Linked DNA regions of Arabidopsis thaliana. The protein of the gene in region 3 interacts with the protein of the main gene of each other region in a pairwise test. Each region holds a gene or a part of one and is shown on either strand. Other genes may lie near its edges. The genes, in order: RHA1, SYP131 and AT2G07749.

Region 1 (10,258 bases), on a different chromosome or scaffold from region 3:
TGTGCCCTTTGCTAAAACCTCCATCTCATGGCTCTTTACTTCTCCGACTGTGATCTTTTCACTTTCCAGGCAACCCCGAGATGCAATTTACTAATAGGCCCCTGAATTCTTCCTTGTCATATTAATGTGACCATATCTTTTCTTCCTACTTATCAGTATTTGAAAAAATGGTCTAATTGGTCGTATATCGGAAACCTAAAAAGTTTCTCAAACAAAAAAATTATTAATATTTACTTAATTAAATTTTTATTTTAGTGAAAAAATTGAACCATTTAAAATAAGAGAAATGTTATGATGACTTGTATAGATTATCTCATAGTTTTTCACTTGAAAATTTTTTTACACTCTCTCTCTTCTCTTTTCATTTTCTAAATTATTTTAGTAGTGAGAAACTATCTTGAAAATTTTTTTACACTCTCTCTCTTCTCTTTTCATTTTCTAAATTATTTTAGTAGTGAGAAACTATCTTGAGAGACTACTAATGGAAATGGTCTTAGATTCTGACTATACGTTCATGTGACGTATAAATTATTACTTTGACCGCTTATAATAATAAAAATATTTTATGCTATAATCTGTTATGTTGGCTAATGCATCTTTCATTGGAAAAATTCTGTTAACTAAATATTTTTTCCTTACATGATATAGAGATTCTAAAATGAGCTAATTGACATGGTACGCTCTGCTCATCATTTTCTAAGACGAATTCAGTTTCAAATTCAGAGTCTAGTAGAGATGCTTCAATCAGGAGACTAACCCTAGTATGATGACGATTCGCTGCTATAGGTCTAACATAAAAATTATTCCCATACCTAGAATCACTAAGACAATGAAAAATACCCTTCAGAAAGTACGTCATGGTAAACTTCAAATCCTCTAAATCCTAAAAGATTATCCTAGAACGCTCCTTGACACTCTACATTTCTTATTCGACAATTCTTAATTTGTTTTCAATAAATAGTTGAGTTAAATTGAACTGATTGGAGGTGTTGTTCTAGTAAATTAAAAAAAAAACTAAACAATGTTTTGAGCATAAAAAATTATTACGTTGATAAGATTTAACATATAACTTCTAATTGTAAAAAATATAGTACATGAAAACTATACGAAATATCTAAAAATAATAATTTATGTCACGTTTGTGATTAGTAATTATCAAAAGTAATATACTTTACACAGTATCAATACGAGGTTTCCATTCAAAACTAGCATTTTCGTTTTTTGTATTTTATATAATATCCATTCAGGCCCGGCTTAGAGGCAGTGCTGGCAGTGCTAAAGCACTGGGTCCACCATTTTTTTCTAATTTTTACAAGGTTTTAAGATATAAATTTTTTGGTGGAGCGGCTTACGTGTGAAGCTCCACAAAAATACATTTTAATTGGACAACATGCAAAATGATATACTACTGAGTACAATATCTATGGTGCACTCATTGGTACGTCATAAAGAAAATAATATTATCTATATAATTTTCTGCAACTCTTTATATAATTGGTTACATTTTTAAATTAAAAAATGTGATAGTTTTTGAAGATAAAAAAACTTATAATATGTTTTTCGACCAATATATCATATATTTTAAAACAGAAAAGCAATATATATTTCCGAAAATTTTATTTTTTACACTACAACGTATAACTTACTAGTGTGTATTAGTTTATGTCATTTCCTTATCATCCAAATTCAAACTTGCATAAAATATCCTAAATATAATCACATAATATCAAACTATCATAATAAGTTTTAGGTTCGCAAAATTAACTTTATTCCAGTGATGATTGATGAAGTGCGGTCCATTTTATGAAAAATGACGTAACTTAAAATATCACATGGAAAAGTACATATAAAGCTTAATTAGTTTACCAACATTAGTTAAATAGTTAATTAACTCCATTTTTGATTCGCTTTTTCCATAGGTGTTTGATTCCACTAAGTCGTAGTATCCGTGTAGTAGGAATTGGTTATAAAACGATCAAATATATTAAAAGTAAAAAAGTTTACCAACATTTTTTAAATACTAATTCTTCTTCCTTAATTAGAAAGCACAGCAAAATTGTTTGAATAAGAGTTTTGAAACCCTCGTTCATGTCTATAAATACCGGAACTAACTTCACACTAAACATATACAAAATCAAACCTTTCATTTTACATTTGTTTTCTTTTTCATTATCTTTGTAAGCTAAGCGATGGAAACCCAAACACACGTTTTGTTTCTCTTCCTACTCATCACTCTATTGTTAAACACCACCAACAAAACCCAAGCAAGACAACATAAAAACCCTAGTTCCTCCTCATCTTCCTTTCTTGTCCTTACCTTGACCAAATCAAGTGTTTCTCTTCCCACACCAAAGTCTCAAACCCAAGAAAGGATCAAGAAGCCATTATCATCAGTAGATGTTGTAATGGAACCCTTGAGAGAAGTGAGAGATGGTTATTTGATAACCTTAAACATTGGAACACCTCCACAAGCAGTTCAAGTGTACTTGGACACAGGAAGTGATCTCACATGGGTCCCATGTGGGAATCTAAGTTTTGATTGCATTGAATGTTATGATCTCAAGAACAACGATCTAAAATCACCATCGGTCTTTTCTCCTCTTCATTCATCTACATCTTTTAGAGATTCTTGTGCTAGTTCCTTTTGCGTCGAGATCCATAGCTCAGACAATCCTTTTGACCCTTGTGCAGTCGCCGGCTGCTCTGTGAGTATGCTTCTCAAGTCTACTTGCGTAAGGCCTTGTCCTTCCTTTGCTTATACTTATGGTGAAGGTGGTCTTATCTCTGGGATACTAACCAGGGATATACTGAAGGCTCGAACTAGGGATGTTCCAAGGTTTTCTTTTGGCTGCGTAACGTCCACTTACCGGGAACCTATTGGCATTGCTGGATTTGGAAGAGGTTTACTCTCTCTCCCTTCGCAACTAGGCTTTCTTGAAAAGGGATTTTCCCATTGTTTCTTGCCTTTCAAGTTTGTCAACAATCCTAACATCTCTAGCCCTTTGATCCTAGGAGCCTCTGCTTTATCGATAAATCTAACCGACTCTTTGCAATTTACTCCCATGTTGAATACTCCAATGTATCCCAACAGCTACTACATCGGTTTAGAATCAATTACAATAGGCACAAATATCACTCCCACACAAGTTCCTTTAACCTTAAGACAATTTGATTCACAAGGAAATGGAGGAATGTTGGTCGATTCGGGTACGACTTACACACATTTACCCGAACCTTTCTACTCACAACTCCTCACAACTCTCCAATCAACAATCACATACCCAAGAGCCACTGAAACTGAATCAAGAACAGGCTTTGATCTCTGCTACAAAGTCCCGTGTCCTAACAACAATCTCACTAGCCTCGAAAACGATGTAATGATGATATTTCCTTCAATTACATTCCATTTCTTGAACAATGCAACCTTACTTCTCCCGCAAGGTAACTCTTTTTACGCAATGAGCGCCCCTAGCGATGGTTCCGTGGTGCAATGCTTGTTGTTTCAGAACATGGAAGATGGAGACTACGGACCGGCCGGAGTTTTTGGGAGCTTTCAGCAGCAGAATGTGAAAGTTGTGTATGATTTGGAGAAAGAGAGAATTGGCTTCCAAGCTATGGATTGTGTCTTAGAAGCTGCTTCACATGGACTCAACCAAGGCTCATGAACAAAAAAAAAAGTCATCAATCTTATGAGTTGATTTCGGAATTGTTTTGGCTTCATCTTTTTTTTTTTTTTATGTTTGTTTTGTTGTTGTTTAAACTGTTTCGATGACTCTTTGTATATGGTGGGAGTTTTCTTTTGATTATGTAATGTTTTTTTTATAATTACTTTTCTTCTTTTGGATTAATGATTATTCCTGAGGTGGAGACTTTACTATATATAGAGAGAATGAGTTGGAAGATGGAACTTGGGAACAAATCGTCGTGGAATACGAGGTGTATTAGACTTTCAGTTGTGCAAAGGGACAAAACAACATGATCTGTTAAAATTTCTTTGTTTATACACCACAAATTAATGCATACACACACAGTATACATGTGTAACGTTTTTGATGTTCCCGTGAAAATAGATGTGTATTTAGAGCCTAGATGGATAGATTATGATTGGATGAAACATTTGTAATATTTTGACAAAAGTTTACCATTTACGTTAAATGTAATAGAATGAACATTCCTCTAAAAAAAAACTCCCTAAGCAAAAAATTACTATAAGGATGAATGGTATATCGCTTAGTCACGTTTTCAAACGCTATTTTTTTACATTCAAAATATTTATCAAATTTTTTTCGATTTCACGTTTTCGAAAAGTAATTCGGCTGTATACTACTAGGCTACTAGCATGTCAATATACCTAGAAAAAAACATGATTAATCCACTAGAACTATATTTTCATCCATTAAACTAATTTATTCAGTTCAATTCATTCCACTAATAATTATTCAGTTATTCCGTCATTTCACTATAATTATAAGTTATAGACAAGTTTTTTTTACTAACATGTTATAGCTATCCTTCAAAAATGGTACTTAGCAATAACATCTTATAGCTATTCTGAACATCCATAATGTTTTGTCATCCAATTTTGTTCTTCAAAATAAACAAGTTAAAATTAATTTCTCGTCTTCAATTCTAAATAATTGGCTCCACTGATGAAAGCCCATAACCCATATGGAAAAACGTGCATTTCAGCATTTGTGTAGATAGCGATATTTTGTTCGACTACACAGAAAGTTTTTTTTCTTTTTGACTACCAAAGAAATTTGATTCATAGTATCTTCGAGTTAGGTACCAAAACATGTAAAACAGTCTCGTCTTAAACCGTCCAATACGACTTCATGACCGACAAAATTAAATCACACGGCCAGTTTTGACGCGTGAGACAACAACCTACTATTGAGGATTTGGCTAAACACTCGCCACAATGCTTCTATTGTATTGACAATATTTGTGTTTATTTCATTTGTTATTAATAAAGACAAATATCATAAGTAATAATTGACTACTACTAATCCATAATTTAAAATGTTATTTTTTTTGAACCAAGGACTACATAACTAACAACTTGTGACTAAAGATTACAAAACATGTTTTAGTCGTTATTTTTAATCATTATAGTTTATAGTAATCGCTATTATTCGTTGTTATTGCTAACTATGAAATGAACATGGTTGTACATTTTGTCCCATCACTACCACCAAAATTTTTGGATTTTGTTGAAAAAAGGGAGACTAACCATGGTTTACAAAGAATCTATGAAATACTAACGAAACTATACACAATTATCGACTTTATTATTAAGAGACATCGTCTACAATATATGAAGGTCAGCGTGTAACATATTTTTGTTTTTGGGGCGTTTTTAGTATTTTAGACAAATATAGGGATTTATCGTAATTTCGATAATCTTGTGGTTTTTTTAGTTATAAGTCTCCTCTTGTCATATTCACGAGCCGTATAAAAAAGTTGTTTCTTTCTTCTCTGTTTTTTTGCTTTCGTCTTCAAGAGAGAGAGAGAGAGAGATACAAAGAGAGAAATTTGGTTGTTTGTTGACGGAAGCTTCTTCGGTCTCTCTTCTCCGTCTTACGATTGTCAACGCGTGGTTCCATCTTCAATTTTGTTTCTATTTTAGCAGAAGTTTCTCGAGCTTCAAATACTGTTTCAGATCAATCAATCAGTCAATCATGGCTAGCTCTGGAAACAAGAACATCAACGCCAAATTGGTCAGTTTAATTCTTCTGGATTTTGCTTATCCTTTGAAGGATGATCGTCAATTTTGATTAGATCGTTGATTTCGATGAGTTAGTTCTGTTTCCAATTTGGGGAATTTTCAACCAAATTCTCTGATCTGAAATTGGATGATTGTGATCGAATTAGAAATCGCATGGTTTATCAGTATAAAACTAGGGTTTGGAGTAAAGGTTATAGATTTTATTCGATCTGGTAGTTTTGTTTTAGGGTTCTAACGAGTCAGAAGAAAAATCTGTTTTTTTCCCCCTTTATTTTGTTTTTGGTGGTTAACTTGGTTAAGCGCTTCAGGTATTACTAGGAGATGTTGGAGCTGGAAAATCAAGTCTTGTGCTACGGTTTGTGAAAGATCAGTTTGTTGAATTTCAGGTTGGTTGGTGGCATTTTCCTCCTGTGATCTTGATAGAGGTTTTCTTCTCGTTCCTGTGGTTGATTCTTGACTTTTTGATACTCGTTTTGTTGTAGGAATCAACCATTGGTGCAGCTTTTTTCTCTCAAACATTGGCTGTGAATGATGCGACTGTGAAGTTTGAGATATGGGATACAGCTGGTCAGGAACGATACCACAGTTTGGCTCCAATGTACTACAGGGGTGCAGCTGCTGCTATTATTGTCTTTGACATTACTAATCAAGTACGAACTCACGATCCTTGTGTTTTTAGTCACGAATGCACTGACTTACAGAATATCAGTGGACTTTAGTGGCAGTTTAAGGCTCTCTGCAAAGTTAGGTTTGCTTAATTTTTGTTTTTCTATTGCCACAGGCCTCATTTGAGAGGGCGAAGAAATGGGTTCAGGAACTGCAGGCACAAGGTATGGAATAGCTGACTTTGGTTTTAGCTAGTTTATGATTCCTACTTTCTGATAGTTGGTGTGGTTTATTTGGTATCATTATATGTTAATGTGGATCATGTGAATAGGTAACCCTAATATGGTGATGGCTCTTGCTGGAAACAAAGCTGATTTATTAGACGCAAGGAAGGTGTCTGCAGAGGTAAACTAAATCTTTCTTTCTTTTGCTGTCTGATTTTGCTTTGCTAATGCCAAAAATCTTGATGAAATTCGAAAGTACCGGGAGAAAATGTTAACTAACACTCGGGGATGAGATTCGACTGGTGCCTGTGAAATCTTCTATTACATCACCTACCGACTTGTTTTTTTCATTACTGAGTTGTGTTGTTAAGTAGTTCTTGATATTGTTATTTACAGGAGGCAGAGATATATGCTCAAGAGAACAGCCTTTTCTTTATGGAAACCTCAGCGAAGACCGCAACAAATGTCAAAGACATATTCTACGAAATAGGTGAGTCATTCTTTCATCAAGAAAGCTATTTCCAACAATTAGTTGTTTTCAATTAAATCCCTTTTTCACTTTTGTTTCTCTTGTTCAAACCGCTACAGCGAAAAGGCTACCACGTGTACAGCCAGCTGAAAACCCGACAGGAATGGTTCTCCCAAACGGGCCAGGGGCTACGGCAGTGAGTTCATCGTGTTGTGCTTAGATTCGTACCTGAAGAGAGATCTCATTTGGTTAGTCACATAGTAGAGAACATCTGGACTTTCATGTGTTTGCTTCTTCTTCGTCTTTGTTACTTTACTTTGCTTGCATTGACAACAACAACAGTGTATATCATGATGATACTTATTCTGCCTTTGTGAAATCTGAAGATATTTGTATTTGGAGAGATTTATATATATATATCTCTTTTGTAATTAGAAAACAAAACTTAGTCCGAAAAAAATGTGCTTATCTTTCGTTTATGTTTTAAGTGAATGCTCAGATTTATAGGCTTATTATCTTTTGTATTACTTAAATCTCCAAAATGTTTTTTCCATTGTTGGAATGCTGTAATATGAATGTATATATCAATAAAAGAAACACCTTTGAAAAAAAAAAGTGGCATTGCTTCTCTCTCCCTTCTCTTCTTTCATCTTTCAAAGAGAAAGAAGTTTTTCCGTTCAGATTTTGCCGGCGTTCTTCTCCAATGACTTTGGTCTCACTTCGATAGCATCTTCGTCCGGCTATGAATTAAGTGGAATGATATTCTTGTCAAAGCTTTCGATTTCCAATTGATGAACTGCAACTTGAAGATTGAAAAGCTGTTGTTTGAAGAAGAAGATTCACAAATTTGAATAAAGTGGAGTCATATTCTCGTCAAAGCTAAAATATGAATTTCGCCTTTGTATCTTTGGGCCAAGATTGAGATCTGCCGATTGAACAAATTTTGGCCGGAATTGAAACTTTCCAACGTCTCAAAGACGTCACAACGATCTGTGGGTGATCGGAGACTCCCATCCCTTCCACTTCCCACGTGTCTTCCAAACCTGTTTCCCATTTGCAACATGTTTTATATGTTGTGTACAACAAGCTTTTCCTTTAGTTGGACTTGTTTGTTTCAGTATTTGTGAAATATTGACCTATCATATTGGCTCTGTATTATGAATAAAACACAATTGTGACAAAAAAACGTAATACTAATTTAATACAAAAAAGGTCTGCTTTGACGGAGATGTTAGAGTCTTGGTTGCACTAATCAATGGTACAAGACTAAAACTTTAATTTGGTGCATATTAAAGGACCCATGAAGTCAGATTTTGGAAGAACAAATTTGAAGAGATACAGTTCAATTGGGTAAAGAGATGGTAACAAGCCAGCTGATATTCTTTCTACGAAAAGTTAAAAACATTTTTCATTCTATTTTATTCCAAGGTTTCAGTACAACAAATGAGAACAAAACAAATATGATCCAACCTCGAGGACTTTGACAGAGGCACCAAATTTCAAACCAAAAGCAACCGAAGTCGTATAAAATACAATCATCCAAGTTGAAAACAGTTTGATAACATTTCTCTGAGATCAAGCCTCTGTGAGTTTCAGACGCGGAACAACATTCATCGACTGGAGTTCCTGTTACCACGTAATGCGCACAACGATTAAGAAATAACAGAGAAACAAACCAGTAAAACCGAAAACATCAGTGATTCTTACTTATTTTAGGAAGAAATTTATATCCAGAGATCAGAATTATTTTATCATTTTCCAAATGGGACGAAGTAGAGAGTTTCAATTTGAAGAATAGACCAATGGTTTTTACCTGGAATAGTAGCTTGCATGCGTATGGGAGTTTCATAGTAGCAATGTTATCGCCATTTTTACATGTTGTACAAACTGCTTTCTTAAGCTTGTAATTGTAATAACCCAACAAACCACAAGCTCTGCAAACCTGCATTCAAACGTTTAAACAGTGTATCACAAAATTGCAATCATTTCTCACAAGGTTTGTCATAATTCAAAACAGTGCATTATGATTTAATTACCTGAACTTCGAAAGGATCACTAGATATCATGAGCCGCTCGTAGATCAACATGCTGGCTCCATAAGCAATTAGACAATCTCTTTCCATTTCTCCCACTCTTAAACCTGCAACAGCATTAAAGATACAATTGAGAAGTTGACAAAAACCTTACTATATTAGTAGAAAACAGAACAATAACGTAACAAGAGTAAAATGGAATTCTAAATTATTTCCTAAATCAAGAAATACAGAAATAGAAAGTCCAGAGTGAAGAAGATACAGAAGCAAGAGGCACATACCTCCATTCTTAGATTTCCCTTCAGTAGGCTGTCTTGTCATCATAACACGTGGTCCACTCCCTCGCGCATGCATCTTGTCCAGAACCTATTTTAACATATGTACAAAAACGAGAATTTCTCTTTACATTTTCAGAAAAAATGTTACTGTACTCTGATATTTAGAATTTTTTTTTTTTTTTTTTGTGTGATTACAAAACAGTAGAAGATGGTTCAAATAAGTTAAGAGGAACCTCACCATGTGTTTCAATTTCTGGTAATATATTGGCCCCATAAAGATGTACGCTTCCACTGGCTCGCCACTGATACCTGAAAAACTCTCAAGGTCGTCAGGTTGATGTACAAATAAAGAATCATGAACCCTTATATAGCTTTGGAATAAGAATGAGTATGTCCGGGTGTTAACAATGTAAAATGATAATGTCTTGGCCCATTTTAGTGTAGATCCTAAACAACTCTGTATTCAAAGAAATAAACAACAGACACTAGAATGCACTTTAACATATAACTGCACATTTTGAAATGTGTACAGAATCATAATGCAGTACCTGAGTATAACAAGTCCTTCCCACTGTATGAAAACCCTTTTTCCACAAGGGTCGCACTGAAATGATTGAAGAGCATACGGTGACATTAAATGCCAAAACAAAAGTTTATATATGGAAGAACTTTTATATATAAGAGAGAAAAGAGTACCTTATAGTCTCAACCTTGTCAGCATGACCACTTCTTTCTCCAAAAGCACTACCATAATGAAATCTACCACAAGAAACCCCAGCCTTACTTCCAAGGAGTTCTATCATCTTACCTACAGTCATACGACTGTGACAAGAAATATGTTAATACATTCGTCAGTTTTAATACAAAATCTCAAGTAATCAAGAACTTCAGATGAAACTCGAAAGCTTTGGAACGAAGGG
Region 2 (10,806 bases), on a different chromosome or scaffold from region 3:
TTTCCTCTTTTTGTGTCATCATATATTTAAATATCTGTTTCTTCAGTTTATAATCTTTAATCTACAAGTTCCATGTTTGTAATTAATTCTACCTATTTATGTCTCTTTTCAGTATCTGTCTCTATGTTTGTTGCATATATTGTGTTCATAATGCTTGGAAAATTGAGCTTGCTCTATATTGTACAATGTCCATTTCAGGATGGAGAATCTGGTTGGAGTAGTCTTCACCGAGCTTTGCATTTTGGCCATCTCGCGGTAGCTAGCGTATTGATTGACTCAGGTGCTTCTTTTACTCTAGAAGACATAAAACTGCGAACACCGGTTGATTTGGTCTCAGGTCCAGTGGCTCAGGTTATTGGCGAGCAACAAAGTTCGGGTAACTAATATTTTCTCTTTGATCTTTAAGGAGAACCTTAATCAGTCTTGACACTTTTTCTTACGCAACTTTTGAGAAGCTGAAATGTTGGCTTCATTTTTCTTTTCAGTGGCTACAGAGGTTTTCAGCTGGGGAAATGGTGCAAACTACCAACTTGGAACTGGCAATCAACATGTTCAGAAGGTACCAGGGAGAGTTGATTCACTGCATGGTTGTTTTATTAAGTTGGTCTCCGCTGCAAAGTTTCATAGTGTTGCCATTAGTACTCATGGAGAAGTCTACACGTGGGGATTTGGAAGGGGTGGCCGCCTTGGACATCCTGAATTTGACATTCATAGGTATGCATTGTTGTAAATTCACTGATATGGTGACTGGAGGAGGAGCTTAATTGCTTTTATTCCGACAAAGTTTTCATGGTCTAGTTTGTTGCGTCTATATGAAGATTTCTACTTGCCTATGGCGTTACTGTGGTTTCAAAATTTACCTTGCTTGATTTCTGATGGAACATTGAAAGATAAAAACAGTCTTCTATTCTAAGCGTACATAGAATCATAGGTTGGTAGTTTTTTTTGTAGCTTACCATAGGCTTTTCGTAAGTTTATATAAACCACAATTGAGTTTATTTTTCTGGTTTGCTATCTCAGTGGTCAAGCTGCAGTGATTACTCCCCGCCAGGTGATATCTGGTTTAGGATCTCGCCGTGTAAAAGCAGTTGCGGCAGCTAAGCACCACACTGTTATTGCTACAGAAGGCGGGGATGTGTACACATGGGGTTCCAATAGAGGTAAAACACTTAAACGGCTTCCTATATTTCAGGAATGGATCTTTAGTGCTATAGTATACTCAAGTTTTAGTTTCGACCTCTAAGCCCAGTTTCTTAGTTAATCTGAATTAGATGGAAATATATTCAATCTATTTGGGTCACCTCGTGGTCTTTTATCTTAGAGTCTGATGTTGTTTGTGATGCTCTTGTAGAGGGTCAGCTTGGTTATACCTCTGTGGATACTCAGGCAACACCCCGCAAAGTGACTTCATTGAAGGCGAAGATTGTAGCTGTTTCTGCAGCAAACAAACACACCGCCGTAGTTTCTGACTGCGGTGAAGTTTTCACTTGGGGATGCAACAAGGAAGGTCAGCTTGGTTATGGAACCTCCAACTCAGCATCAAACTACTCTCCCAGATTGGTTGATTACTTGAAAGGAAAAGTGTTCACGGCTATTGCATCTTCAAAATATCACACTCTAGTGCTGCGAAATGATGGAGAGGTAAAATTTCTTACTACATGTTAAGTTAAACGTTTTAATACTATTATTTCAGTGTGTAAAGTTTATAGAATGTATGAACTAGAGTATGAGAACTCAATTTGGATAAAAATTTATTTTTCTTCAGTATTTCTTTCTTTCTTCTGTGACCAGGTGTACACCTGGGGTCATCGGCTGGTGACTCCAAGACGTGTTATCATTTCCCGGAATTTAAAGAAAGCTGGGAACACACTATTGAATTTTCATCGAAGGAGACCTCTTCGATTGACTGCAATAGCTGCGGGAATGGTACACAGCTTGGCTCTAGCAGAAGATGGTGCATTCTTTTATTGGGTTTCCTCTGACTCCAATCTTAGATGCCAACAGGTTGGATTCAACCTTCTTTTTTTATCTTAAAAAAACATATAACTCAATATGTCTCGCATAGTAATAACCAAAATTTGGTTAATCCTGATTCCTGCAGTTGCATTCGCTGCACGGTAAAACAGTTGTGAGCATTTCAGCGGGTAAATACTGGGCATCTGCTGTTACTAGTACAGGTGAAGTTTACATGTGGGATGGGAAGAATGGTAAAGATATTGCACCATCTCTTTCTCGCCTCCACAACTTGAAAAGGGCAACCACAGTTGCTGTTGGCGAAACTCATCTTCTGGTTGTTGGTTCTCTGTATCATCCTGCATATGCTCCTATTGTGCTTAAGAAGTCTCAGACACTGCAAGCTGATAAATGTAGGGAAGAAGAAAATGAAGAACTGGATGAGGGTTTTATGTTTGACGATGTGGAATCCGTGAACGTGTTGCAATCCGTGCAATACGATAATCCTAAGGAGAGGATAGTGCCTAGCTTGAAAAGTTTATGCGAGAAGGTGGCCGCGGAGTGTATTGTAGAGCCACGAAATGCTATTCAATTGCTTGAAATTGCGGATTCGCTTGGAGCAGAGGATCTTAAGAAGTACTGTGAGGTAATGCAAACCTTCCCTATGTGATGATTGCACACTAAACCGTAGAGATACAAAACTTAGAGAAGTTTATGTTCAGTGTTCTCTTTCTATGTTGTGGCTGATGATTACCTTACACGTGTGTTCTCCCTGCAGGACATTGTGATTCGAAACCTTGACTTTATTTTGACATTTTCTCCCCAATCTATTGCAAATACATCACCTGATGTTCTTGCCAATCTTGAGAAATTACTGGATGACAGATCATCTGAAACATGGAGCTCCCGACCACTTCCAACCCCAACAGCCACATTTCCTGTTGTTATTGACAGTGAAGAGGAGGAAAGTGAGAGCGACATTCTAAGAACTCGTGACAGCCATGTGAAACACTTTTCCAGTATTGGTGGTACTCGAATGGATTCATTCTTGCAACCAGAAGATGAGCTGACTCAACACAATTCCAAAGAAGTCCGAGCTTTGAGGAAAAAGTTGCAACAAATTGAGATACTTGAAGCAAAACAATCGAGAGGACAACTTCTTGATGGTCAGCAAATAGCAAAACTTCAAAAGAAACTAGATATCGAAAGTTCACTGGTAGAACTTGGTATTCCTGTGGAAGAGTTTCCAGAGGCAAAAGCAACAACAGCTTTACCGCTAGAAGGAAAGGCCAACAAGAAGGGAAAAAAGAAGAAAAAGGGTAATCAGAGATTTGTACAAGTTGAGACATTCCCTGAATTTGGTGAAGTTAAAGTGGAAATAGATACGATGCAAGACAAAGAAATTGAAGAAATCTGTGAAGCTATCAAGCCAAAGGTTAGTTTGGGTACTGGTTTTTCATGATGAAATGTCCTTTGTTAACACTTGATCATATTATCCATCTGCGTCAGTTGAATTATTTTTGCTTTGTATTTATTCTACTAGGGTGGCAAAACCATGTTGGATACGACGATGATTAGTGGGTTCCCCAAAGAATCAGACTTTGTCTCACTCTCGCAAAAGAAAGATAATCCACCCGATTCGCCGAGAAGCAAGAAACTTGCAACGGCAGCAAACAAGAAGAAGAACAGAAAGGGTGGGCTTTCCATGTTCTTGACTGGTGCTCTTGATGATGTCCCTAAACCTGTTGTTGCTCCTCCACCAAGGCCTAAGATTGAAGGTCCTGTGTGGGGTGGGGCTAAGATTTCTAAAGGATTATCTTCCCTGCGGGATATTCAAGATGAACAAAGCAAGACCCGCTCTCATGAACCTGTTAGGACTACTAAAAATCAGTCAGGGGATGATTCTCCTGGTAAAAGTGAAGGAAAGATATTACTGAGTTCCTTCTTGACTTCGAAGCCGATTCCGATGGAACCAGCCAAAAGTTTGCAGCAATCTGATGTGGAAAAAGGAACTCCTCCTTGGGCTTCCTCTGAAACTCCGCGTAAACTGTCTCGACCTTCTCTCAGAGATATCCAGATGCAGGAGGTACGTTGTCCTCTGTTTGAAGAATACTGATACCGTAGACAAGATTATCTTGTTGCATCATAGTTTATGTTTTAAAGCTCATTTTTCTTTCGGTGTCTTTGTCTTGTCTAATGCAGGTGAAGAAGCAACAGTCTCTGTCCCACAGTCCAAAGACAAAAACATCAGGCTTCACAGTCGCAACCGGGCAAGGATCTCCATCAGATTCGCCTGGAACTAATCGCTGGTTCAAACCAGAGATAGATGCTCCATCAGCAATCCGATCAATCCAGATAGAAGAAAAAGCCATGAAGGATCTCCGCCGCTTCTACAGTAGCGTGAAGGTAGTCAGAAACCAGCCTTGATGATGTGAGTGAATGAGACATTACTTTTCAAGAGCTCTCATTCTCAAAACTCAAAAGTGTTGTAGTTGTAACTGTACAGATGATGTCTCCACTGTTCATTGGGTCTCCTCTTAACTGGTCAGCCATTTTTTTTCTCTTTCTTTCAATGTGTTAGTCTTTGGTAGTAGCTGTCAAAGTAATACTCATGCTTATGTACATCACTGGTGTACATGAAGCTCTTTAGTAGTCTTCACAAACCATTTTAGATGTATATATTTCGTAATAATAAGAAAAAGCTTATATGATTTATTTCAGTAATATTCCCTTGTGTAATCTAAAACATTGACTTAACAAAGTCAGAAATGTAGAAGGTGTAAAGTGTAACTGTTTCCTAAGAAGATATAAAGACACAGAAGCAGAGTACTCTCTTGTGCAAATCAATCATCAATCTTCCTGAGATTTCAAAACGGATAACGGCAATTTCGGATTTTGATTTAAGTCCGGTTAAATCGGATCGGTTAGATTGGATATAATTAACAGACAAAAAACAAACACAACCCAAACGAGAATAGGGCCTTTTGTTAACACAACCCAACCCAAAATTGGGCATTTTCTTAATATAAAACCAAACGAATGGGCCTTTTCTGGGTTATATGAATCCGGCCCAAAGGCTAAGCTGGTGAAGTACTAGCTTGCGGCCCGTAATATTAACATTAACATTAATATTATCAAATTTCTTAAGTTTCCCTTACCACGTGTCTTGTTTTTCTACAGTTAATTGAAATCTTTGATTGATCGGATAGATCTTTCTGAATCTCTTGAATTTTTACTGAATGAAGCCAATGAGGCGCTGATTAGTGCTTTTTTTCTGGTTTTCTTGAGAGCTAAAGGAGATAGATACCTTTGAACAAGTAGAATCTGAGACGGACTTAACTATTTTACACATTGGTTTTGTAGATGACTGTAATTGACCTAATGGTCCCTATATGTAATATTAGTTTTTTTCTTGTGTAGCAAGAAAGCGTCGAAACCAGCTACTGACTGTTGTTTGGTTTGAGTCTCATTGTAAAGATACTGTCCCAAAATAAGAGTTTGACTAAAGATTTGATTAGTAATCTGTTAACAACGAAATTTACCTCTCTTTTTTGTTGTTTTATAAAGAGCATAGAATTTCAAATGAAATCTTAACCGTTGACTCGAACCTTACGTGCCTAACAATCTCACATTTGTGCTCTGCTTTATACGGTGACGAAGCTCCCTTGTCTCTTCTATTGATTTTTATAGGATAACCAAAAAAACAAAAACAAAAAGAAGGAAGAGAACAAAAGAGATCTGGGTTTATTACAAAACCAGGTTTGTTTATCTTCTAATTGTGGCCATTTTCTTTTTCATTGATTTTGCCAAAATTTTGTTAATTGTTTGACAAGTTTCCTGATGCTTTTATAGATCTTTTGCTCTGTTCCCGTTCTCTCCGACAATGAACGACCTCTTAAAGGTTTGTCTTATCTTTTTCTTCACACATTTTCTCTGTTTCGCTTTGACATTACGTGATCAAGGAGATTTCTGCTCTAATCCAAACAACCTTTTCGTGTATCTTTATTAATTTCTCTCTAAATTTTGAAATTAGAAACTCCGAATCTTGGGGTTTAAATTCGCTTGGTATACAAGGTTTCTCAGAATTGACGTTTCTTTAGTTCGGCATTTATTCCGAGAAAATCCATGATGAAGAATGCTCCTGTGAGATTCAAAAAATCGTTTATAGAAGTAAAATGATCAAATAAATCTGGAGGTTTATGTTGGATTTAGTGGGATAAATCAAAGATCAAACGTTGTGAAGCTTGTAAGTTTCTAAGATGATGTGACAGATGTTTTGATTGGACAGGGTTCGTTAGAGTTCTCCAGGGATCGCTCTAATAGAAGCGATATTGAGTCAGGACATGGCCCTGGTAACTCTGGAGATCTCGGGCTCTCTGGTTTCTTCAAAAAGGTAAAGCTTTTGTATCCCTCTGCAACTCTTCTCAATCAGTGCTACATATGTGTATGACTATTGAGATCATCATATCAATTGTTTAGGTCCAGGAAATCGAAAAGCAATATGAGAAGCTTGACAAGCATCTCAACAAGCTTCAGGGGGCACATGAGGAGACTAAAGCCGTCACCAAGGCTCCTGCAATGAAATGTAATCCAAAACGAGTTCGATTTTAGACCACAGAAACAAGTTCATGATGGAAGATTTAGATGAACTGAAATTTGGTTTCTCTTTGTTTTTTGTTCCGCAGCAATCAAGCAAAGGATGGAGAGAGATGTTGATGAAGTGGGAAGAATTTCTCGTTTCATCAAAGGAAAGATCGAGGAACTGGACCGAGAGGTTAGGCTTAGAGATGAATACATTGTTTGTTGCATCTGTTTCTATGATCTGGTCATCTTTTGTTTAAGACTTGGATTGATATCTTCAGAATCTGGAGAACCGGACTAAACCGGGTTGTGGGAAAGGAACAGGTGTAGACAGAACAAGAACAGCCACAACTATGTGAGTTTTAGCCTATTAAAACTCAAGATTGTCTATATACAAGTATCTTTCAGTCTTCCTTGACGCTTTTTTCTTCGGCAGTGCGGTGAAGAAGAAATTTAAGGACAAGATATCTGAATTCCAAGTAAGTTTAGCAAATTCTGAAAAGAAAATGTTCTCTAAGAAAGTTGTCCTAAGCTCTTATCTTTGTCACCTGCAGACTCTAAGACAAAACATTCAACAAGAATACAGAGAAGTTGTAGAGAGGCGTGTGTTTACAGGTTTGAATTGAGAATCTGTCTGAAGATTCACCTGTTCCATTAATGATCGTTTAAGAGCTAATTGTATTTTTGTTGTTCTGATTCTTGACAATGGTTAGTGACTGGCCAACGAGCTGATGAAGAGGCAAGTTCTTATAACTCCGATTTAATTGATTAATACCCTATTGAATTAGTTCATGATTGTTAATTTTCGGGTGTGTAGACAGTTGATAGATTGATTGAAACTGGAGACAGTGAGCAAATTTTCCAGAAAGCAATCAGGGAGCAAGGACGAGGACAGGTTGGTATCTATGTTCCGGCACTCATCTGTGCAACACGACAACTATAACATGCTTTTCTACTGGTTCTGTGCAGATAATGGACACACTGGCTGAGATTCAGGAACGCCATGACGCTGTCAGAGATTTAGAGAAGAAACTCCTTGACCTGCAACAGGTAAACCTCGATCCGATTCACCAAAAACTCTCAAGAATTCTCATCATTGATTCTTCTCTTTTATGTTTCCGGTTAGGTGTTTCTCGATATGGCCGTGCTGGTGGATGCACAGGGAGAGATGTTAGACAACATAGAGAATATGGTAACAATCTCTTCAGTACCTGTTTAAATCCCTGAGCTTAGATCTCTTCAAAATCCTTTCTTACTCTGTTTCTGTTCTAACAGGTCTCAAGTGCTGTGGATCATGTTCAATCCGGAAACAATCAACTAACAAAGGCAGTAAAAAGCCAGAAAAGTTCAAGGAAATGGATGTGCATTGCCATCCTTATCCTTCTTATCATTATTATCATTACTGTCATCTCTGTTCTCAAACCATGGACACAGAAAAATGGTGCCTAAGGTTCTATTCTCTCTGCCCTGCTTCTGAGGCTTCTGTATACAACAGTATATACGTGTATCATCGCATCAAGTACTATTGACCTTACACTATCACTATAAAAATGATGTATTCTTTTGATCGGATCAATGAATCAACTATTTTACAGAGGCCAAAGTCGAATACCATTTCAGTGAACAATCTCGGCCCAACGAATATGAATATGAATATGAATATGAATCAGGACACAGCAAGTTTATATTAAAATTCTGTTGAAATATACCTTTATCTTTTATCTGTAGTGTGTCAAAACAAATCCAGAAAAAAACTATTGGAGAAAAAGGGATAAAGAATCTGAATATGAACCTTTAATCAGATTTACAATGATGAGAAAAAGAAGAGCAAAAGATACCTCCAGCTTCAAATTTGCTTCAAGGGAAGCCCTCAGAGAAGGATGAAGCATAACGGACATCCTTTGCTGCATCAGTTGTCCGTCCTTCGATGCATAAGGGCGTCCGGAGGCAATACCGATATCTTTGAGAAGGTCTGACGTATAAAGAGTATGCAACTAACTTGCAAGGAGCTACTAACAAAAGAATAATACTAAAAGCTTATTCTCAGAAAGGGAAAAAAAGCCGGGAACTGTAAAAAACAATAAAAAAAACCTCTGTATGTTTGCTTCTTCGCCTTTCCTGAAAGAATCTGGGTAAAATCAAATAACACCTCACAGCAGAATTTGCATAGTAGTCACGCTAGTCATTAGGATCCCACTCTTCATCTTGGTCAAAAGCTGAAGCTACCTTACTTTTTGCAAATTCTTCTTCAGTTTCTGACTGTTCAGCGAGAAGGTCATGGTCATAATCAGGCTGATCACCATCATCAGTTTTACTCTTTTCCACTCCCGCTGATTTTATCCATTTAGGGCATTCATCCTCACCTCCATAGAGAAATCTACCATCATCACTCTGTATTTGCCTGGAATCCTCAAGGGCTGAGGTTCTGCATGAGCATTCAGGAAGTGGATGCGAAAGGAACGACCTAGGTTTCGACAACATAGACTGCCTGATAAGCCCACTTTCACCCAAACTTGAGTTAAGATGTTTCCTCACACGAAGTGTCCAGTTACGGTTGGGATGGTACATGTCCTCACGAGTAATGTTGAAAAGTTCTTGAATAACTTTCCTGTTTGAGCAAATCAGTGAACAGTTAATGAATTTTGCAAAAGAGAAATTTTGTAAAAGCTAGTAACTCATAAGATGCATGTATCAGCTAAAATTACGGATCAATGAACCCAAAAGAATAAGAAGATTATCGGCATAAAAGGTGTGCAATCAACCTAACTATGAGGAAGGACGGTAGATGCAGTAAGTAATTTTTTATCAATAATTCTGCTTACCTGTCCAGTCTATATGTTCGTGAAGAGGGTCTTTCATAGAGCCTTTGACCCATCACCAAACTTGAAAAATCTGGCCATCCACTACCATCGTTGTTGAACCCAGGGAAGAACACATCAGCTTCTACAGAAACAGCAAAATCAAGGGCATCCCACAGTAACCTGTGTGCTTGATTCCTAAGATCCATAGGCGAAGGGCTTGGTTCTGTGTCATTCTCTGTAAGCCAACCATACCATCCTTCTTTTTCGTGCTGGTAGATAGGTCTGTCTGGAGGAGGAGGTAGAGGTCGAGGTCGAGGACCTGCCTTGTTCCACTCTTCCTTGAGCTGCTTATCGCTTTTTCGAGGAGGCATTTTATATGTATTCTCTGGAAGAGGTGTCTCAGGACCAACCAATTCTGATAATTCCTCCGTGCTGCATAAAGAAGTCCGATCCACTAAATTAGGGAACATGGCACGTAGAGGGATCAAAACCCGTTGGCCGCCAAATATTTCAGAACCAGCCAAGTATATGATCGCTTTTTGAGAATAACCCAATGCTTTCAAAAGAATTCCAACCTGCAAAATTTCAATTCCAATTAACTCTTGGCATCATAAAGCCAATTTAGTTCCATCAGAACAGAAGTAAGTAAGCAATCCAATTGGAGCTTGAAAACAGTGTATCACATGGGAATTACATACAAACATAGAAAATTTAAATTTAGCTACGTTGCTTGACAAAAAAATAAATAAAAAAAAATTAGCTTCGTCGTAAACTCCAAGAATTCAAGCAAAGGGTACCGAGATATAATAATACATCCATATAGCATTATTTGAGAGAAGCTCCGTACCTCTTCTGGCATGAGAGGACATAAGCCATTATCCCTGCGCAAGCGCGAGTCTACAATAAGTTCTTCTAAAATAAACCTCTGCTTGATCATCTGAGCACGCCGATATTGGATGAGTTCACTGTGAATATCCTTTGAGGATTGAAAAAATGCGTAGAGTCAGAAACTACTTCCCCATGTATCTCAATCACAAAGGATACACAGGAAAAAAACGTAGCTGATATAAACAGTTTGTTCTATCAAAAATATACAGATTGAGAAGGTTGAAAACTTTTACCTGGAAAAGCTCAGCACAACCATGATATGCCAATTTCTCCCTTACTAAGCCAGGATGATAAGCTAGGAAAGGTTGACCTGATTTACGTAACCTAGAAAAGGGAAATTATCTTCCTCAATTATGTAAGGAATGCACGGTTTTTAGGGGTAGATAGACAAAACCATGACACATAAAATCTTAACATTTACATCAAGTCCCAATCTAAATTAAGAAAATGGTAACCCCTAAACTTAATTATTATAGCTCTCAGCTAGATATACTTCATTATCAAAGAAAGAAAAGCTTAGCATCTAATGTTCTTCTCCCCCTTAGTAATCCTATATCATGTATTCGTCCCATTCTTCAATGAA
Region 3 (10,307 bases):
TCAAGAGTTGGCTTCCGCTTATTTTGATTATTAAGCGTAACGAGACTAAAAGAGTCGTGAAGCGAGTCGGAAAGAAAGAGGCGAATCTACAAGAGTCTGATTTTTTATATGTTAACGGGCGGAGATTAAGAGGTGGGCAAGTTGGTAGGCTCCGGAGAATAGAATGCAATGGAGGACCTAACGCCTAGTAAGACGGGGAAGGAGTGTTATGAAAGGGAGGAAGAGGAAAAGCTACTCTTGAGCCTCCTTGCTCAAACCTGCCTTCTTCGGGAACTAATGGATGTCTATTCCGTTCTCCAGCTCCATCAGTCCACTAGCCAGTACCACTTTCAAGTAAGTCTTCAGTACTAGTGTCAGCGGGCAGGTTTGAAGATGTCTTTCCTGGTCTATCTCCAGACTTGGCCAGAGAGTAAAATATGCGTTTTCGCACAGTAAGGCACTTTAGACTTTGATTTCCGCTAAATCTTCAAGATAAAATGTCTTTGCCTCAGCTTCACATATGGCTTACCATCCTCTTCTAGTAAGGAAGTCCTTCCCGCCCTTCCTAACCTTACCCGTAACCACGACTCCCTTTGATTATCATAAGTTAATATTCAAAATGTGGGTCTTTCTCGTCAGGTCTATGTTCTTGCTTTCAATTCAATCTTTCCAATCGGGTCTAGAATGACAATTTATCCCAGACAAACAAGTCTCCTCTAGCTTAAGGAGTAGTCCATAGCTAATAATCTATGGTACTAGCTTATTCCAGTCATTGAGCACAACTTCCTTTTCTGTTTACAGAGAATAGGATAAACCTCTATTCCATCCGGGCAAATAAGATGCTCGCTCACTCCACTACGCCACTTGCTGTGCAGTCTCCAATACGCCACTTGCAGTTCCACAGAGTGTTTTTCTAATCTTCTTGAGTATAAAGAGGAATCTAAGGGAAGACACTTCATTGCGGGAAGCACCACACGCCTGCTTCCTCCTCTAAGCAAGCAATAGCCAGAGCTCTGAAGCTGAAGTGAGCCAAGCTCAACAATCTTGAATGGCTTACTCACTCAAGCAGTAAGGCGACTCCGCGGGCTCAATCAGAGGTTCCAATGCAAAGCCCAGCTATGAAGCGAATAAAGAGCAGTTCGCACTCTCGGTGGGATGGGTCGGGTTCGGTCAATGAAATGCCTTTTCCAAGCACGATCAGGCTTCAGGGTAGCTTCTGGGAGTGCTCTACGAGAAGGCATATGTGTTACATCTTGAGATATTTGTTTAGGGCAAACGGTCACCGCCATTTCTCGTATGAAAGGCTGGACTGTCGCAATCAAACTCTCCGCCTGCCGGATCATCTCTATCAACCGTCTCGGCCGCACCTTCTTCCGCATCTGTCTCAACTGCTCCTTGTGCGGGACTCTGGATACCTATAAAGCTCCTCTGGGCAATCGTATTGGTTCCAATCAGCATTCCTAACCTCCGTCTTCTCCTGAGCGTCTGGACTGCACTGAGTGCCTGGACTGAAAGGATTCTCTTTCGCCATTTAGAACTTCCCCGTGGTAGCATAGCATAGTAGTGCAAGTGAAAGTAAATAATCAAAGACGTTGAAAAAAAAACCTTGTGATCGATGTGGGACCTTAGATAACAAAGTAGCGATAGGGCGCCTAATTCTGGTCATTTAGAGCATCTTCTCTTGATTCACTCAGAAATTACCCTTTCTCTGAAAAGCTTCAACTCAATCACTTGGACAGAGGGATTTGGCCTACCAACTGCAGGCTCTGGTGGGGGAACGGTATCCATTGCCTGCTGCCCCATCCCAATAAAACGTGTTTCTCAACCACCCCTGTCGACTTCGCACAAGCCAACCTTGCACTAACCCTAAAAGAAAAATCCAGTATAAAATCCCGAGCGGGGAACCACCAAGTGCAGCTAAAGCAGGGCCGCTAGGTCCGAAGAGTAACTGCCCTTCTGACTTCCCTGTCCGGGATCTCTTCACTGAATGTGGAGGCGCGTAGCGCTGCGAAAAAGAAAGGGTTGCCTTCCATGCCAAGCCAGCACATGGACCGGATTGTTACTCGCTACGCGCCTCTGCATGGTGAGATGGGAACAAGTTGTCATGATGTATGCAGGTAAGTGAGCGATGAACGCCTGTCTCTGTTGCTGCATGTGCTGTTTGTTTGTTTCCGAGGTGGTGTGGTCTGCCCCCGAGGAATGTCTAGGAGAAGGGTTTTCTGCTGTGATTGCACCAAGTGCAGCTGCGGGTTAGTATCTCTTCCTAGGTGGGAAGGGGCACGACGAGGAACGAAGTCAAACCATACCACGTACTCACACCATTGTTCATACAATGTCTATAAGCGGTGTTTTCTGCGATATGTGCTTCTGGCTCTCCACAAAGGAACATCTCCAAGGGAGGGGGCGTGAGCTGCTTAAGCTTCATCCCATCCCGAATCCTTGCAATTAACACACCACGAAGATAGGGACTGAGAGGTAATCCTCTTCCAATCCACCACTCGAGTGGTAACCGATCAGGACCGACTAAAAGCTTACTAGATAACGCCTGAATCCGACTAAAACGCCGGGATAGGGCCTTAGTGTAGTGTCCATTTGTCCTAGCACGCGGTATCCAGCTTTATTTAACCTTAAACAAGTCTTAGGACTTAACTTGTACTTATAGGCCAACTGCTGAGTACCAACGAGGAAGTAGCTCTCAAGCACAGCTTTCGCAGATACTGGGGATAAGTCCTTCGACATTATCTTAACCCAGAACCGCTTGGCGAACTCAAGACAACCCGTCTCAGATACAATAGACTTGGCATCAGATATATCTACTTGCAAAGCATCAAGTAGAGAACGGTACTCCTTAGCCACACTACGATCGGCAATGACGATGTCATCACCTAACAAAGCGTAGTCGAGAAATGGTCTCGTCTGATGAGGATATGCTCGTAATGCTGCCAACCACACAATAGCATGGTGGGACAACGCGAATAGAGCCCAGGAGCCGTAATAACCCAAAGGTTGACCTGCAACAAACACAACTTCGTCATGCCGTCCAGTAACGGACTTCAAAGAGCATGAGTTGAGTGCTAAGGCACCATTGACAATGCACGATGCCATCGTTTGACCGAAAAGGCACGCCATAAGCTCATATATGACTGGAACGGGCCACCGATCGGTGGCAGCGCTCAAGTCAAAACTTGCTATAAATCTTGGGCGTCTCTTTGCCAGACGATGGATAGGACCTTCTTGATGGAAGGTACCGTCTTGAGAGACCATTTTTCTTTAAAGAAAGTCCCGTTTTAATGATTTACAGAAATTTCAGTTTTTTTTGTTCAATTCTTCAAAAAAAATACTTCCTGCCAAAGCGAGCAAGTCGCCTATTTCAGGGAAGCTAAAAGCATGTCGTCCCGCCTATAGTCGTAGCCAGTTCCCTTGCAGGCCTTGATTAGCAAGGAATAGAGAGAGCATTGAAAGTACGTAACTCTCGAACTTGTTTCTCGAGAGGTTGTGAACACAAACTCGACTGATAAAGGAGAGGTCCGGAGGTATTAACTAGTTGATGAGGTCTCGACGAGCGACTAAAAGGAGAGGTACTGACGTGACTCGAGTGAAACTATATTGAGGAGAGGGAAGGGGACTTATGTAACTATATTCCGAATCCTTCTCCCCATCAAAATCTGCCTCCCTTGCCCATAAGGAGAGAGTCTCCCTAGTGAGGAATCCTTTAGAACTGATGACGTCCTAGCTGTGAGCTGACCCAAGAGCTACACTGATTAGGAAGCAGATTCCGCACAGAAGACCAAGCAAATCTCCTCTTCTAGTCTTACCCCCAGGCTGTGGTGCTACGAGATGGCAATTTATCGTATAGAAGAATAGATCCGTGGGCCTATTGATTGACCATAGATCATAGAACCGATCGACTGCTATCTAAGAGAAGATAAGTAGTTCTTCTATCGTTCAAGGGCAAGGGGGAGAACATGTAGCGGCTTGCCTAGATCTCGTATTTCCCACGTAGTCCGTAGGTCAAACCAAGGATTCTCTTCACAGTCTTAAAGGATGTATCTCTCCTTTGCGCTGACTTATGCTCTGCGAGCTAGGAGCGCATCATAGGGGCAGGGCGAAAACGAACATAGGATCATCATCATGGCCCTTTTCTTCTTTCTTTTGCTGCTGATCTCACATCGAGAGCAGCTCCTTCTTGTTCAGGGTCATCAGATGAGAGATCTTCTTCCGACTCCGAGAAATCGGTCAAACGGGAGGCTACCCTCTCCTTTTAGTCGAGTAATCAATCCCTCGACTCATCTCTCTATCCATAAAAAAGCCCTTCCCAGAGGAGAGCGGAAGCTCCAGGATGAGTATGCCCTGGATTCCCGGATTCATTCTCGTCCTGATCCACTCTGGAATTTTCGGAATCTACAAAAACATTCTAGGAAAGGGCTCGTAATGATCTTCTCAAAGATCACAAGGTGCTGAAGTGGCAGGATAGGAGGGGGATCCGTAGGTTTTTGTGAAAGGGATGCTCTTACTTATCATGTCTGAAAAGAAAAACCGAATTCCTCGATTTCATTCGATTCATCCACATTTCCATTTCTTGTAGAGGAAGGCTAACTGTGCTTGCTGGCTGGGAGCTGTATGAGCGGTAACGTCCACGTACGGTTCCGTGAGAAGGGCGGTGGACAGAAATGGCCTTGTTGTACCTTACTCTCGTCTTCAATGGGGTCTGCTCTTTTTTTTTTGGGAGAGTATGCCAATATGATCTTAATGAGGTGCGGAACTTTGCATCTGACATTCGTTGGGCTTCCCTCTTCGGGAGCCTGCGTCCCGGCCGTTTTTGTGCAATAAACCCCTCCGGCCGAAGACTAGTGGTAGGTGGTCCCGCGTAGCTTTCGGAGAAGGGTAGCCTTGTGTGTAAGCACAGCAATGAACCGCGGCGAACCCTCAGACGACCTATCTAAGATTAGGGGGGGGGGGAGATCCTCAGTAGTGGTGACCCTTTCACCTCTTCCCACGGACTGATACATGTACCGAATGCTCATACGGGAAAGTTGACTCCTGGGTCTGGAACCTGGGGGGTTGCTCCGAGAAATCCTTTCTTTCTCGTCCACTCAGGGGGGTGCGGACACACCCGCGCGGATTACAGGTGACGGTTACAAGAATGGCGGGGAAGTGAACAGTACCCGACGACATTCAGGGATGGATGTAGACCCATCGGGCAGGGATAATCATTCCGGTCCTGGGAGAGGTATTGATTACTCGACTAAAAGGAGAGGAACCCCATCGACTGAAAGAAGAGGAGAGGTGGCGACCATTTTCAAGAACCAAAAAGACTGAACTGAGGGAAGCCCTATGAGTCACTGAAACGACGGCAGGAGGGGGCCTTTGATTATAAAAAAGGGGAGCAAAAAACGAGCTTTTCCCCCCTTTACAATATGAAGAAAGAAAGAAGGGTTGAAGTTTAGACCGCTCACAGTAGTTCTACCTATAGAAAAGATCATGAAAGAGGCGATCAGAATGGTACTCGAATCCATTTACGATCCCGAGTTTCCAGACACATCGCATTTCCGCTCGGGTCAAGGCTGCCACTCGGTCCTAAGACGGATCAAAGAAGAGTGGGGAATCTCTCGCTGGTTTTTAGAATTCGACATCAGGAAGTGTTTTCACACCATCGACCGACATCGACTCATCCAAATTTTGAAGGAAGAGATCGACGATCCCAAGTTCTTTTACTCCATTCAGAAAGTCTTTTCCGCCGGACGACTCGTAGGAGTTGAGAGGGGCCCTTACTCCGTCCCACACAGTGTACTACTATCGGCCCTACCAGGCAACATCTACCTACACAAGCTCGATCAGGAGATAGGGAGGATCCGACAGAAGTACGAAATTCCGATTGTTCAGAGAGTCAGATCGGTTCTATTAAGGACAGGTCGTCAGTCTACAATAATTTGGTGTCCGATTTTCGGCTAGTGGACAGCTATACCAATAATCCTGTATACAGCTGTATAATATTTTTTATAAAGGATTATCGGTGAGCAAGAATTAAAATGTAGTTTTGAGTTTCGTTAGTTAACCTACCTTTTTCTTTTGGTGGTGAGTTTCCTTTTAGGGGGTTACGAGCCTTTAGCATTCAGATTGGGCAATGCGAGATAGATTGATTTACATTTACCTCGAGGATAGTCTTTCTTTTCCAAGCGCGCTTTCCCAACCTGCCATATGTCCGATACATAGTCGAGGGCTCTATACGAGCGCCTTTCTTTCAACTCTATCTATTCTTGCTTTTCAAACATTGTATTCCTTATAGAATATCATCTCATGTCTATCTATAGTATAACGTTTCTCATAGTGGCATAGCGGCTCCGAGGTGATTCTTTCTGGTATCCGTCCTCTCTCATACTGCTTTAAGGTTGGAGGATTTAGTTCAAGCTAGTCTCCTATGGTGAAGATCTCTATATTTGTTAAGACTGTATGAAAGAAATCACATATAGTAATCATCTAAGAATATATCTATACTATAATGGTTGCATCTAACATTTCTCATAGTGTAGATAAGGCAGTCCCCGGAGCTAAGAAAACTACGCTATTCAAAGCAATCCGCCCAAGGAAGGCTAGCTAGTCGAGTCTAATGCTAGGCTAGGTGATTCCTCTCTATCAATGACCGAAGCTTAATCCAGAGAGAGAGCTCACTATACCACCAGGTTGCCACATTTGCTTATGAAACAAGAACAGCTTATCCCGAGGCTCTGAAAGACTGAGGGTAGTCACTCAAAAAGTAATCCGTCACTTCGCCCGAAAAGCACTATAGGGGATTCCGGCCAAGCGAGCATAAAAATACAATACCCAACTTTCTGTTTCAGCCCACTCCACTTCATTGACCGAGACTTTCTATTCCGAACCGGTTCGGTTAAAGACCTAGCCACGAGACCAACTCCGGGCTGTCTCGTAAAAGATCAATTCCCAGATGCTCTTACTCGACGCCCACAGGCAAGCTTGTTTAGAGAAGGAGAGTTCTCTTCATCAGGGAAACTGCTCAACCTCCACTATTTCCATAAGCATGATTATGCACTAGCAGACATAAAGTGCCAAGAAGAGAAAACGCATAACTCATAAGCCAAAGATGTATTCGATCCTGAATTGAACGTAATTTTTTCCGATTGGTTGGAAGGTAAGGATAGCATGATTGACTGGTTGCGGGTCCCTTGGATCATGGGCCACAGCTATTTGGATAGATTCAGATCCTTTCATGTAGTAGAGTCTTTGATGGGCTCGGATCCTTTTCATGATTTCATGTGAGGACACCTTTGGCGGGCTTTTTTGATAGATCCAGGATTTCTGTGCGATATCGATCTTCTCTTTATGGCTTTGGTTAATCTATCGTCTAGCTGTCTTGGTCTTCCGAAAAGGCGAAGACAAACGCATGGATTTACTGTATTCTATGACTAAACCAGAATCACCCCGGAGTGAGCTGTTCCATAAGGGGCTCATATTATCCGACAGAGCAGAGCTATCATGCCGAAGAAGCCTTTTTCTTTCTACGCCCCGGTGGCATCTTGACTTTCCTAGGTCTCTAATAGTTCCCCATAAAAGAGTCAATGGGCTGAGCTGATCGAGTCCCATTTTCTGGCTGCAAGGCCCGGCCCGAGTAGTCAATGGTTGCTACCGCTCACTGCGCTTCTCTGTACCATTTCATTTCTAGTCAAAATGGATCCTGGGCATATCTACTGACCCGACAAGCTGACGTAATTCTATCCATCCGTAGCTGTCTGTGCCGCTACCTCTATCCAGCAGATCCAGTGCCAACCGATCTATATCTAGCTTTGGCCGGCCGGGCCAACCCACCTATACAGAGTTGATGCCATGCCCGCCTAACCACGAAAGAAAGCATCCAATATTTCAAGACTTTCTCCACAGAGCTCTAAAATCCTTTCTCCGAAGATCCAGGCTCACTTTTTTAGGCAATGGAATGACCCGAGCAAAGGAAAGGGATCAAGGCAATAACTACGCGCATCAAGGTGATACCTAGACCGAGCGAATCTGACCGTAGCCTATCATACTGAGTGAAAGCGTGCCGAACCAAGGGAACTTGCCTTTAATCTTAGGCTCGCAGCTACTAGGTGCGTACCCTTGAACCTAGCTCGCCCTAGGGTACAGGCATTGAAAGACGGCTTTCAGAATAGGCTTTTTTGTACGAAGAGAAGGTTACACTACTATATAAGATAAGTAATTCATTATAAGATAAGTAATTCATTGTGCTAAAAGAACCACTTTGAGGATCAATCCCTTACTGAATGAATGTCCTTTTGATCAGTGATCACAGAAGGAGAAGGCACTGTGAATGAGAACCTCTTTCCTTTCTGGCTACCAAACGTGCTAATAAAAGAGCTTATTCTGAGTTTGAATTCCTCGAATTCTGTAAGCTAGCTTGGTCTACCTGCTTTGTTCTGATTTCATTGTATTCCTCCGTATTCAGCATTCGCGCCGGTGTCACAAAAAGCAAAAGCATATCAATTCGTTGAGGCAACTAGTCTTGGTAAGGTTTTTTCCACTGAATGAGAAGTTTGTATGATCCAGATGTTTTGAAGGCGTGTTTGCCCCTGTGATACGCGTACGAGGAGTCGACGGGGAAGAGCCGTGCTGGGGTTGGAAGAGGTTCCAGCTTTAGAGGAGCCTCCCTATCTTATCCCTTGTTGGTCTTATTTGACAGCTCAGCTTTGTCTCGGGCAGATTTTGGTCCATGATGGACTCTTTTTATTTATTTTGACGATTGGATTTCTATATGAATGGAAAAGGGGTGCTTCGGATCGGGAGTAAAGTGATAGGGCACAAAATGGGGGGAAAAAGAAAGGAAAGAGAATAATGCCCACGTTTAATCAATTGATTCGTCATGGTAGAGAAGAAAAACGGCGCACGGACCGTACTGAAGTTTTGGTCTTTGGTTTGCTGGTTACACGTATTATCCGTTTTGTACATTCTGTTTTGTTTCCCATCCCAGTCTTTTGCAGCATAAAAGTCCTTTTAGATTCCTTTTGTTCGCTTCCTATTATAAACAAACTTTCCAAAAAATGGCAACTGATTTGGTTTTATGTTATTTCAGTTATTCTCTGTAAATCTTTATTTGCTGTAGGATACTTGTGGATGGACGACTTAAGTCGTGCCATTTCTCAGTTCTACCCGGTGGTATCCGGAGGACTAGGAGGAGGAAATACGCCAATGCCCCCGACAAATCCATCTGAGGGTGGTCTTTTAGAAGGATATTATGCTCATGAGAATGAGCACTCTCACGATCAGCAGAGGGGTTCACCTTTCTGGTCGAAAGAGTACAAGGAAAGTGGCTCAAAACGCCTTTTCTTGAACCTCGAGGTAGAGGATCAAAACACAGATACCATCGGGGAGCAAGTAAAAGCAGAGAGTGATAAATGCGAAAAAATCAAGGCAAAAATAATAGCAAAAACACATGAACTCTTAGTATCCGAAGGTTACCATATTCCGGATGAACGGGATATAGAACGAGCAATAAATGTTGTGATGACTGAACATGAAATGATCGATATCGATCGGCGTAAGAAAAGATTCTACTATCTTTATTCCCGGTTAGGAAAAAACGGAGACAAGTTTTGGGTGGAGCTACTGGAATTGCTGTCTGACTACGACATAAATAAAAGCGATTCCGACGACTAAACCGCCATTTCAGGTTTACGTCTTTTGTTAGGTCTCGACTTCTTCGCTATGATCTTCCCGGTAGTTCATATAGGAGCTATAGCCGTTTCATTCCTTTTCGTTGTTATGATGTTCCATATTCAAATAGCGGAGATTCACGAAGAAGTATTGCGCTATTTACCAGTGAGTGGGATTATTGGACTGATCTTTTGGTGGTGAGTTTCCTTTTTTCTTTTTTTCGCTATGCGCCGCTCCGCCAGCAAGGAGTGCCACGCACAAGCAGAGCGAAAACAAACAAAGCAGGGGAGGGGGAATTATTCGTTGGGGGAAATCCTTTGATTGCGTATTATAGATCCATGTCTTTCTTGTTCCACTAGCTAGGACAAAATTTGCACATGTCCGTTTCGTTATTACAACCTTCTTTTTTGATGTCAAAGACCAGAAGCTACGCGCAAATTCTCATTGGGTCTTGGTTGTTCTTAACAGCGATGGCTATTCATTTAAGTCTTGGGGTAGCACCACTAGATCTTCAACAAGGTGGAAATTCTCGTATTCTCTATGTACATGTTCCTGCGGCTCGGATGAGTATTATTGTTTATATCGCCACGGCTATAAACACTTTCTTGTTCCTATTAACAAAACATCCCCTTTATCTTCGCTCTTCCGGAACCGGTATAGAAATGGGTGCT

The links.
Region 1: the proteins of AT2G07749 (region 3) and RHA1 interact in a protein complementation assay, tested with the Arabidopsis thaliana proteins (one large-scale study listed by BioGRID).
Region 2: the proteins of AT2G07749 (region 3) and SYP131 interact in a protein complementation assay, tested with the Arabidopsis thaliana proteins (one large-scale study listed by BioGRID).

Annotation. Positions count from the first base shown.
Region 1 is NC_003076.8:18,238,814-18,249,071, forward strand, and holds RHA1 (Ras small GTP-binding family protein), read left to right. Parts: upstream 1-5,449; 5' UTR 5,450-5,681; coding exon of another isoform or gene 5,682-5,720; 5' UTR 5,721-5,855; coding exon 5,856-5,918; intron 5,919-6,036; coding exon 6,037-6,114; intron 6,115-6,210; coding exon 6,211-6,378; intron 6,379-6,509; coding exon 6,510-6,558; intron 6,559-6,665; coding exon 6,666-6,739; intron 6,740-6,954; coding exon 6,955-7,048; intron 7,049-7,146; coding exon 7,147-7,247; 3' UTR 7,248-7,637; downstream 7,638-10,258. Other genes in the region: AT5G45120 (Eukaryotic aspartyl protease family protein), read left to right, coding at 2,190-3,665; NRPC2 (nuclear RNA polymerase C2), read right to left, coding at 8,603-8,653, 8,841-8,969, 9,064-9,167, 9,342-9,426, 9,577-9,647, 9,887-9,942, 10,035-10,160. UniProt on the Arabidopsis thaliana protein: Involved in the trafficking of soluble cargo proteins from the prevacuolar compartment to the central vacuole. Involved in vacuolar transport of storage proteins with EREX as effector. Regulates membrane trafficking to protein storage vacuoles (PSVs).
Region 2 is NC_003074.8:963,478-974,283, forward strand, and holds SYP131 (syntaxin of plants 131), read left to right. Parts: upstream 1-5,572; 5' UTR 5,573-5,712; intron 5,713-5,760; exon of another isoform or gene 5,761-5,805; 5' UTR 5,806-5,836; coding exon 5,837-5,854; intron 5,855-6,241; coding exon 6,242-6,346; intron 6,347-6,432; coding exon 6,433-6,538; intron 6,539-6,638; coding exon 6,639-6,727; intron 6,728-6,815; coding exon 6,816-6,889; intron 6,890-6,970; coding exon 6,971-7,013; intron 7,014-7,088; coding exon 7,089-7,149; intron 7,150-7,247; coding exon 7,248-7,273; intron 7,274-7,351; coding exon 7,352-7,429; intron 7,430-7,503; coding exon 7,504-7,584; intron 7,585-7,660; coding exon 7,661-7,726; intron 7,727-7,809; coding exon 7,810-7,983; 3' UTR 7,984-8,214; downstream 8,215-10,806. Other genes in the region: AT3G03790 (ankyrin repeat family protein / regulator of chromosome condensation (RCC1) family protein), read left to right, coding at 199-376, 486-714, 1,021-1,160, 1,352-1,641, 1,792-2,004, 2,102-2,599, 2,732-3,388, 3,497-4,039 and 2 more; EDA30 (O-fucosyltransferase family protein), read right to left, coding at 8,713-9,142, 9,357-9,910, 10,183-10,311, 10,457-10,547.
Region 3 is NC_003071.7:3,240,170-3,250,476, reverse strand, and holds AT2G07749 (Mitovirus RNA-dependent RNA polymerase), read right to left. Parts: upstream 3,244-10,307; coding exon 2,503-3,243; 3' UTR 1,120-2,502; downstream 1-1,119. Other genes in the region: AT2G07776 (uncharacterized protein), read left to right, coding at 4,111-4,440; AT2G07655 (uncharacterized protein), read right to left, coding at 4,274-4,364, 4,494-4,918, 4,993-5,154; AT2G07773 (cytochrome B/B6 protein), read left to right, coding at 8,818-9,639; ABCI5 (Cytochrome C assembly protein), read left to right, coding at 10,014-10,307.